Linked DNA regions of Caenorhabditis elegans. The protein of the gene in region 1 interacts with the protein of each later gene in a biochemical or structural test. Each region holds a gene or a part of one and is shown in the gene's direction. Other genes may lie near its edges.

Evidence for each region. Proteins that work in one complex are often made in the same cells at the same time.
Region 2: of the proteins of rhi-1 (region 1) and ced-10, one has a biochemical effect on the other in vitro, tested with the Caenorhabditis elegans proteins (one study listed by BioGRID).

Annotation. Positions count from the first base shown.
Region 1 is NC_003284.9:4,505,873-4,511,019, forward strand, and holds rhi-1 (putative rho GDP-dissociation inhibitor), read left to right. Parts: upstream 1-2,636; 5' UTR 2,637-2,643; coding exon 2,644-2,739; intron 2,740-4,350; coding exon 4,351-4,604; intron 4,605-4,655; coding exon 4,656-4,881; 3' UTR 4,882-5,073; downstream 5,074-5,147. UniProt on the Caenorhabditis elegans protein: Regulates the GDP/GTP exchange reaction of the Rho proteins by inhibiting the dissociation of GDP from them, and the subsequent binding of GTP to them.
Region 2 is NC_003282.8:3,507,064-3,511,436, reverse strand, and holds the start of ced-10 (Ras-related protein ced-10), read left to right. Parts: upstream 1-1,909; 5' UTR 1,910-1,943; coding exon 1,944-2,048; intron 2,049-2,328; exon of another isoform or gene 2,329-2,478; intron 2,479-2,836; coding exon 2,837-2,928; intron 2,929-3,195; coding exon 3,196-3,381; intron 3,382-3,865; coding exon 3,866-4,058; 3' UTR 4,059-4,373. Other genes in the region: tsg-101 (Tumor susceptibility gene 101 protein), read left to right, coding at 1-245, 833-963. UniProt on the Caenorhabditis elegans protein: Required in engulfing to control the phagocytosis of apoptotic cell corpses. Required in embryonic development for the correct positioning and orientation of the mitotic spindles and division planes in blastomere cells.

The DNA of each region.
Region 1 (5,147 bases):
TCCACTTTGGTTTTAAAAATGTATTGAATTTAGAATTGATTGCAAAACCAAAACCAAATTTTAGTTGCTCAGATTTTTATTGTTTCTGTGCGCTGGCTGCCCAGTTTCTATTCTAGAATAATTTTCTCGGTGCAATATGACACCTTGGACTATGTGCACCCGAGCCGCCTATTTTCCAAGCTTTCAGTTAGTTAGTTTTTCCGAGCGATCATCAAAGCAGTGATCTTGTTCCATAAAAAATTGAAATTGTTGAAATGATTTTTTGGACGCACCAGAAATAAGTTTTATCAGGAACTTGTGTGCTCAAATGATTTATCTTGATAGGTTTAATTGAAACAGGAACGATTTTTTGGCAAAATTGGCAAAATTCGTCAGCATTGAAAAATTTGCCACCATAATCGACGAAATTTTCTGAACAGACTGAATTTGAATTTTGTACAACTTTGTGTTTTTTTGTAATTGTGCTCTTCGTGTTTGGAAAACTTTCTGTATAGTTTTTTTTTTGCACTATTGATAGAAGCTTCCAGTTTTCTTCTCATATTTGTTAAAATATTGAACTATTACCTACATTTCCTGAGAGTTTCCCCATTGTCAACACACCATCCCTAAGAACAGAAATAATTTGGAAACAATTTCATTTGTTGTCTTTTTGCAAAACGTTTAGAAATTATTTGTTTCATTTGTTTCATGCAGTTACATGCATTCAAAAGTTCTCCAGGTTCTTTTTGTAGATTATAAATTATTCCTCTCGGTTGAACAAACTTTTTGCTCTCCCCAAAATAATGTTCTTTTTTCGACTTTCAGTGGTACAATGGTTGGGTGGCCTTAAACATTGCATTTTCTTAATTGAAAAGTTACTGGCAAATATATGTTCCTAATAACATTAGAGATCTTCAAATATTTGTTTCCCATTAGTAACCACCTCAATTTTATTTCCGAGGTGTGGAAATAACTTGTTTAGGTGTGGAACTGAATTGTTTTAAAGTTTTAATTTTCGAAAATATAATTATTTTGTGCCACACTATATCTGTGTTAAAATTCACAACACTTCCAATTTTACGTTTTTGAATTAGTCCAATTCTTAGGCTTTTTGATTTTCTCTCTCTCTCTCTCTCTTTCCCAGCCAAAAACTAACCGCGTTCAAATACTTTAAACAAACGAGAACTGTATTTTCTCGCACTGCTTTTGCTTCACTTGCTCCTCGCAATCAGTGCACAGCGGTGCCCTAGAATGCCCGATTTTGACATTTTTACCTTCTCGTCCTCCTCCACCACCATCATCGCCCACCATCAGCGATTTCCTTGCGCCACTCCCTCGACGATTCGGTTTTCCACAAACATTTTTCCACGCACACACACACACACACAAGTTTATGTGTGTGTGTGAGTGTGAGTGTGTTTCATTTGTGTCACTCACTCTACTTTTTTCTCTCTCATTTCACTATCCACCCATACTCGAACTGTATTTATTTGTCTGTTGTTTGTGACTCTCTCTCTTAGTGGGCGAGAAGATTCCTAATACTTGACATGATATGCGTTATTTCTTTAACTCGCTCTTCAATCTATCAATTGTTCATTTAAAGTTTGAAATTTATCATTCTGTTTAATTTCTAATGTTTTCGATTACTCAGCAGCACGACTTCCTTTCTTGTTCTTGGGCAAGCAACATGATGAGTCATTTGTTAAATTCCCAGAGTAACGAATCAATTGATAAGGGAAGACTATTTTGCTTGACGTTGCATTTGTTCTACTTCTCATCACTTGAATTTTTGGCTCCTCCAGTATGTCATATGTTTCTACAATGACTGATTTAAGGCAACTTGTTTTTTTGTTTTCTTTCGTCAATTTTCGACAATACGCATATGCTTAAAGGGTCAAAAAGGTCAGTCAAAAAGTGGCATAAGTTTTTGCCACTTTCTGAAAAATAGAACTGTTCAAATCAGAAACGACATTCAAAAAATTGGTGAGAACTGAGTTTTCACTGGTTTTTGATTCGAAATAAAAAAAATTTCCAAATTATTTTGAATAGTTTTATTTTAATTTTTTAGTGATTTTAGCATCATTTTAGTATTTTTCCCATATATCCAGAAATTGGATTTTTCCATCTTGTACATGGAAACAAATGATATAGGCGACGCCAGCAAAAAAAAAAAAAGAAATCGCATCAGAAGAAAGCTTCACAAATCTGTTTTACCAACAATTTGTCTTGAAGAAGAAGAGAAAAAGTAGGCGGAGACGAAAAACCACACAGGAGTAGAAAAAGACGGTGGGATAGATAACAAATTGACATTGTTCAACCATTTCGCCCTCCTCTCCGTGTGTTTGTCTAATTCTTCTTGTCTCGAACGAGGTTGTTCGGTTTGATTATGAAATTTCTTTTCCGGTATTTTTCCAGTTGCCCATTTGCCCCATTATTTTTTTTGGACGTTTTCTCTTTTTGTCGCAAGATTTTGGTTTCGACCGTTCGAGTCTTTGCCCTCAGAATCGTTTTTGTCGTAGGCACTCATTTTTGGCCGCATTTTTATTCGCATTTCTTTAAGTCGTTCATAATTGCAATTCTTCGATTCTTGGGTTTTCGAATATTCTGGTTCTTTCCCTTCTTCTTTTTTCTGACAGCGCTTACCCCCCATTTTTCAGCGGAATTATGTCTGACCACGAGAACACTGGTGAAAACACCTCCGAATATCAGTACAAGCAACCACCACAAAAGAGCATCGACGAGCTTCTCAATGCTGACAAGGTTTGTTAAATTTATTTTTAACAAAAAAAATTGAACATTTTGCGAAATTGCTAATGGATGTGGATTGATGAATCTGATCACAAGACAGCTTTGGCCTTCGATCTATTAATAAAAAGTAGTTAATTGAAACAAAGAAAGCCGAGCCAAGCTACGTTCAAAACACAAAATCCTTGCATTCAGGCTACAGTGTTCTGCGAGTTTTAGGTTTGATAATTGTAAAATAGAATCAAAAGGTAGTGCAACGGGCGGCAATTCACCCCGGCAAACTCGTTTTGGTATGACAATCTAATATTTTTAAGTAAATGCTGAAATATAGAAAATATTTTATTTCTTTGAAAATGAAATTTACTTTTGTAGAAAAACTTAACAAGATGTTGAAAACTACCTGAAACTTGTTATTAGTAGAAAGAACTGCCGTTAAAATGTTATCGGCACAACACTAATATCACCTCTTTCTGATTGTTGTGTCAAAGTTTTCTTTTGAGAATGTATATAGAAATATGTGTATTTTCCAAAAACAACGATAGCTTTGATAAGTTTCTCAAAAACTGTCTCATAATCTGTATATTCCTCCTTGAGATAGTTTTTGAACACTTTCCCAAAACTTTTCATACAAAGGAGAGTTATTTTTGGAAAATGCATATATTCGTTACTAGGGGTGGCAAGAGTGCGACCTAGGTCGCTAGGTCGCTGTTTTCATTTAGGTCGCATCGCGACCTAGGTCGCATTGCGACCTGCGACCTAGCGACCTGGGTCGCATTGCGACTTGCGACCTAGCGACCTAGGTCGCATTGCGACCTGCGACCTAGCGACCTAGGTCGCTTTACGACCTGCGACCTAGCGACCTGGGTCGCATCGCGACCTGGGTCGCATCGCGACCTGCGACCTAGCGACCTAGGTCGCTTTGCGACCTGAAGTACTGACATTTTTTATACTAACAAATTGCTACAAATCATTTATTTTACATTGTTTTCGATTTCTTATCCATAAGACACCTTGTCGAAAAAAGTTAGAACAGCCGACATCCGCCGGATTTTCTGCTTTTTTCTACGTTTTTAATTCGAAAAGTGGAAAATGAAATTTTAGAAACAACAAAAACCACAAAAACGTGAACTTTTTGAAACAATTTGCTGAAATGCATGGTTTTATTTGTAGAAATGAATTCTTTGTTCCGTACTTTTGAAAAAAAACTACGCATAAACTTATAAAATCTTAATAGAGAAAATGTTAGTGGAATACACATATTCTGCAATCTTTAGTTTTCGAGTTATACGGATTTTAACAACTCAAGTGAATCAAAACCGAAAGAGAACAAAATGTCGGTAATTCAGGTCGCAATGCGACCTAGGTCGCTAGGTCGCAGGTCGCAATGCGACCTAGGTCGCGATGCGACCTAACCCTCTAGGTCGCAGGTCGACCTAGGTCGACCTATAGCCACCCCTATTTGTTACATTTCTATACAAATTTCCGAGCGAAAAACTTCAACATAACAATGAGAAAAAGGGCATTTTGTGAATTTTCCTAATGTGCCACAATTTTGGTCTCTATTAACCCTAATAAACTTTTATAAAAATCCAATGACAATCACATTTTAGTATGAAATTTTTACAGGAGGACGAGTCTCTAAAAGTGTACAAAGCCAAACTTCTCGGCCAAGGAACAGTCATTGTCGACGAGAAGAACCCACTCCGCGTGATTGTCCGATCCGTCGAGCTGCTCATTAATGGTAAAACTGCGCAATCATTTGACTTATCGGATCCAGCAAAACTTGTCAACTCTGACTTGTCTGTTTCCATCAAAGAAGGTTCCAATTACCGGTTAAGCTTTGCTTTCCATGTGCAACGCGAAATTACGTCCGGATTGCAGTTAGTTTTTTTGTGTGTTTAATCTTAACTTAAAATAATAAATTGTTTCAGCTACAAACATAAGGTGAAACGATCCGGTATCACTGTGGAGAATGAGAAGTACATGATGGGAAGCTACGCGCCAAAACTTGAGATTCAGGAGTACAAATCACCAAACGAAGAAGCTCCGTCTGGAATGATGCATCGTGGAAAGTACAAGGTGTACTCGAAAATTACCGACGATGACAACAATGTGTATCTTGACTGGCAATGGACCCTTCACATTACCAAGGAGTAGAATAATTTTCCGCCTTTACTGAACCTCATATTTATATTCAAATTCTCAATGAAAATGACTTTTTTCTCCAATTTACCGCCCACCCCAAATGTTTTCCTTGTTTTATGGTTATTATTGATTTTGATGCACTAGTTGTGTTGTGTGATGCCTCTCCCCTTTCCCCGCCAAATTGAAATGATATATAAAGTGATATTTCATAATCATTTAAAACAAAGTGTACTGTTTTGTGAAACGTTGGAAACTAACCAAAAAACACTAACTTGCTG
Region 2 (4,373 bases), on another chromosome or scaffold:
TCGTGAAGGACAGCAAAAGCTGAAAAGAATGCTCGAAGAGCTCGAAACTCAACGGAGCAGCCTTCAGACCGCCTGTGAAATCTATACGGCAAAGAAAGCAGAGCTCGCGAAAGCTCTTTCAGACGCTGGAGGCACTGATGCTCCACCAATTGATGAGGCAATTGATGCCGCTTTTCCGTTGCACCGACAAATTGTGCTCAATTATGCGAAAGATTTGACATGTGATGACGTCATTTATTCACTTGGTATGGAACGAAAAGTTGGGAAAAATTGGAAAAATCTAGCTGGAATTGCTCAATCCTGAGGAAAATGTGCAAAAATTGTTTTCAAAAAATGCAGAAGTTGAAAATTAAGAAAAACTAGTGAAAATGTTTCAAAAAAATTAAATTAAAGTTGAGATTTTTCGAAGTTTCTGAGAGATTTGAAGCCAAATTAAAAGCGTTTTTCTGAAATTTTTCAACGATTTCGTCTATTAGCACTACTACAAATCATTCAAAAACCCCCGAAAAAAAACAGAAATTAGTTAAAATTGACTTTAAATTCTAGAAAATTCACAAAAACTACAAAAAATTGGAAGTTTCTGAACAATTTTCAGCCATTTTTACTCCAAAATTTTGTTGAAATCGTTCAAAAATCAGTTTCGGTTTTATTTTAGCAAAAGTGTTTTTTTTTTGCGGAAATTTGATAGAAAAATTATTGAAAATGACTGAAAATTGGAATTTCAGCAAATTTTCGGTGTAAAAATTTTTCCGAAATCCAGCAAAAAAAAAAACGAAAAAAAATTATGGTATTTATGAGAAATTTTTTTTTTGCCTAATCTTCAAAATTTCAGGTCAATCACTGAAAAAACGCCAAATAACACTTGCCGAATACCTCCGCCATGTTCGTGACGTGTCCCGAGAGCAATTTATCTACCGAGCAACAATGCAGAAATGTCGACGAACTGCTGGTCTTCCTATTTAAAATTTAAATAAAATTTGGATTGAAAATCGTGGAAATTTTTGAGAAAAAATTGCTAATTTTTTGACCAAAACTGGAAAATCGTGAAAAATTGTCCATAAAAATGCTAAAAATTCGATAAAATTCTCGATTTTTGGATGAAAAATACTTTTTTCAATAAAAAGTGGGAATTTCAGCGATTTTCTGACGAAAAACTTAAAATTATTGCTGAGAAATCGAGAAAAATGCATTTTTTTAAAACGATTTTAGCTAAAAATTCCATATTTCATTTATTTTCCTGATGAAAAATTGTTTAACATCAAAATTTCGGTGCTTTTCCGTGATTTTTCAAGTTTTTTACATGTTTTTCCGTTAAAAATTCACTTAAATCTTCTAATTTCAGCCGAAAATTGTAAATTTCAATAATTCCCGTTAAAAATGATGGAGCTTCTATTGAAAATTACCTCGAAAAAAGCTTTCTTTTTTTGACGATTTTCCAGCCGAAACATGTAAATTACGACGAATTTCAGTGACTTTTTTGTCAAAAAAATTACGGTTTTCACTCATTTTTCCATCTTCTCATTTCAAAATTTCTCCCATTGCCGCCATTTTTCTCTAATACTCCCTTTCTCTCCGTCTTGATGCCCGTTGTGATTTGGTTTGTTCTCTCTCTCTCTCTCTTTTTTTCCGTTTTATAGACACAATTTTCTAGATTTTTCCCCATTTAAAATATCCAATTTTGCACCCATTTCCCCATTTTTCCCGGGGGAAAAGCTCGCTTTTCTCTCGAAATTCGATGACTTTTTCAGGTTTTTTGTTCATTTATTTTTTGTACAAAAATTTTAATTTAAATGTGATTTTTCCCCCCATTTTTTTCTGATTTTTTCGCTCAAAATACCGTGATTTTTGGCGGTTTTTCAATATTTTTGATAGATTTTTTTTGTTGCTATTTTTAAGCCAATTTTTCCAGCTTTTTGTGCTTGTGCTCGCGGAGCTCCCCACAAATGCAAGCGATCAAATGTGTCGTCGTTGGTGACGGAGCCGTCGGTAAAACGTGTCTCCTGATATCCTACACCACAAACGCATTTCCCGGAGAATATATTCCGACGGTGAGTCATTTTTAAAGCAAAAATTGAGATAAAATTACGTTTTTTGGCTCAGAAAATAGGACATTTTGACACAAAATCGAAAAAAAAAAACAAAGAAATTTAGGCAAAAAATATTCAAAATTGTTGTATTTTGATCCAAAAATCATTGAAATAAATATTTTTTTAGGCCAAAAACTGGGAAAAATAGTGAAATTATCAATACTGAAAATCGTGAACATTTTGATTTATAAAACATTTAAATAAAAAATAATTTAAATTAAATTTTTTTTGCTAAAAATCGTTTTAAAAAGTACATTTTTTTAATCAAAAAAATAAGTGAAATTTCACTGAAAAGTATGAAAATTAAAACTTCCGTTTTTTACGGAAAATCTAGACAAAAAACTTTTCAAAATGCGATAAAAAAGTTTTCTGCAAAAATCGTTTTAAGAAACACATTTTTAGCGAAATTTTGCTGAAAAATATGAAAATTGTCAACTTGTTCCCATAAAAATCAATAAATTAATATTTTTTATACCAAAAGCTGGGAAAATGGTGAAATTTCATATAAAAATTGGTATTTTTATTTGAAAAAAAAATGTCGAAAATTTCAAAAAACTTCAGTTTTTTTAAACGGAAAATCTAGAAAATTTTGATTCAAAAAACTTTTAAAAATGCAATAAAATTGTAGGCTTTTTGCAACAAAAAAATTGAAAATTTTGAAAAGCGCACAATTTCCCGCAAAAAATATGAAAGGTGTCTTCTTTTTCCCAAAAAAATGCTTTTTTCCCATAAATTCAAATTTTTTCCAGGTATTCGACAACTACTCAGCAAATGTGATGGTCGACGGTCGGCCGATAAATCTCGGGCTCTGGGATACAGCTGGACAGGAAGATTACGATCGGTACGGGCAGCGGGAAAACTGAAAATGCTCGAAAAAACTCAGGATTATGGGTTTTTTCAATAAAAAATTGCTCAGGATTATGTGATATTTTCCTCAATCAAAATGTGGAAAATATCACATTTTAGAAAATTTCATCCAATTTTTCATAAAATGACAGTGATTTTGAAGCTATTTTGTGGTGAAAAACTCGAAAAACATGGAATTTTTCGCACTTTGCACTAAAAATTACCCCAATTATCAATTTTTCAACACCAAAAAAATTTGCAGACTCCGACCACTGTCATATCCACAAACAGACGTGTTTCTCGTATGCTTTGCCCTGAACAATCCGGCGAGTTTTGAGAATGTTCGTGCGAAATGGTATCCAGAAGTGTCACATCATTGCCCGAATACGCCGATTATTTTGGTTGGAACGAAAGCTGATCTGCGTGAGGATCGAGATACTGTTGAACGGTAGATTTTTGGAGAATTTGAGAGAAAAATTGAGGAATAAAGTGAAAAATTTGTAGAAAATGATGAAAAATTGCCAAAAAATTCGAAAAAGCGCATAAAAATTCAGAAAATCACTTAAAAATTGAAGGAATACCGCCAAAACATTAGAAAAATCATTAGAAACGGCAAAAAAATGAGAAATAAGGAAAAAACGCATCAATTTCAGGAAAAAAAATTGCAAAAATTGTATGAAAAGTTGCGTAAAATAGCACAACATTCACATAAAATTTTGGAAAAAAATTTGCAAGATTTTGAGAAATTTGCTCAAAATGTTGAAAAAAAAATTAAAATTAAGATAAATCGCTAAAGAAATGTAAAAAGTTGCACTAAATTCGCATAAATTGTGGACAAAAGTTTGAAATTTTGAAAAAAAGCACATTAAACAAAATTGGCTTAAAATCGAGAAAACTTGCAAAAATTCCGAAAAAAAAAATTTTTTTTGCAGGCTCCGCGAACGCCGGCTCCAACCAGTGAGCCAAACCCAGGGCTACGTGATGGCAAAGGAAATCAAGGCTGTCAAGTATCTGGAGTGCTCGGCGCTCACGCAACGTGGTCTGAAACAAGTTTTCGATGAGGCGATCCGAGCCGTGCTCACGCCGCCACAAAGAGCCAAAAAGAGCAAGTGTACGGTGCTCTAAGATGGGGAAATTGGAGCAAACAATCGCAGAAACTACAACAATTTTAACTATATATATACATATATCATCTGGATTTTTTTTGTTTTATCGATGAATTTTGCTGTGAAATTACCGGTTTTTAGGGAGTAAAAATTGGCAAAAACTGAGCATTTTTAGGCAAAAAACTCGCCGATTTCCGTTCAAAGAAATGCTCCAAATCGGCTGAAAATTACTATTTTTTTTAACCGAAAATCGGCCAAATTTCCACTGAAAAAGCTCAATTTCAGCCGAAAATTTCTCGATTTTTTTCCAGAAAATTGTCCAAAATCTGGGCGT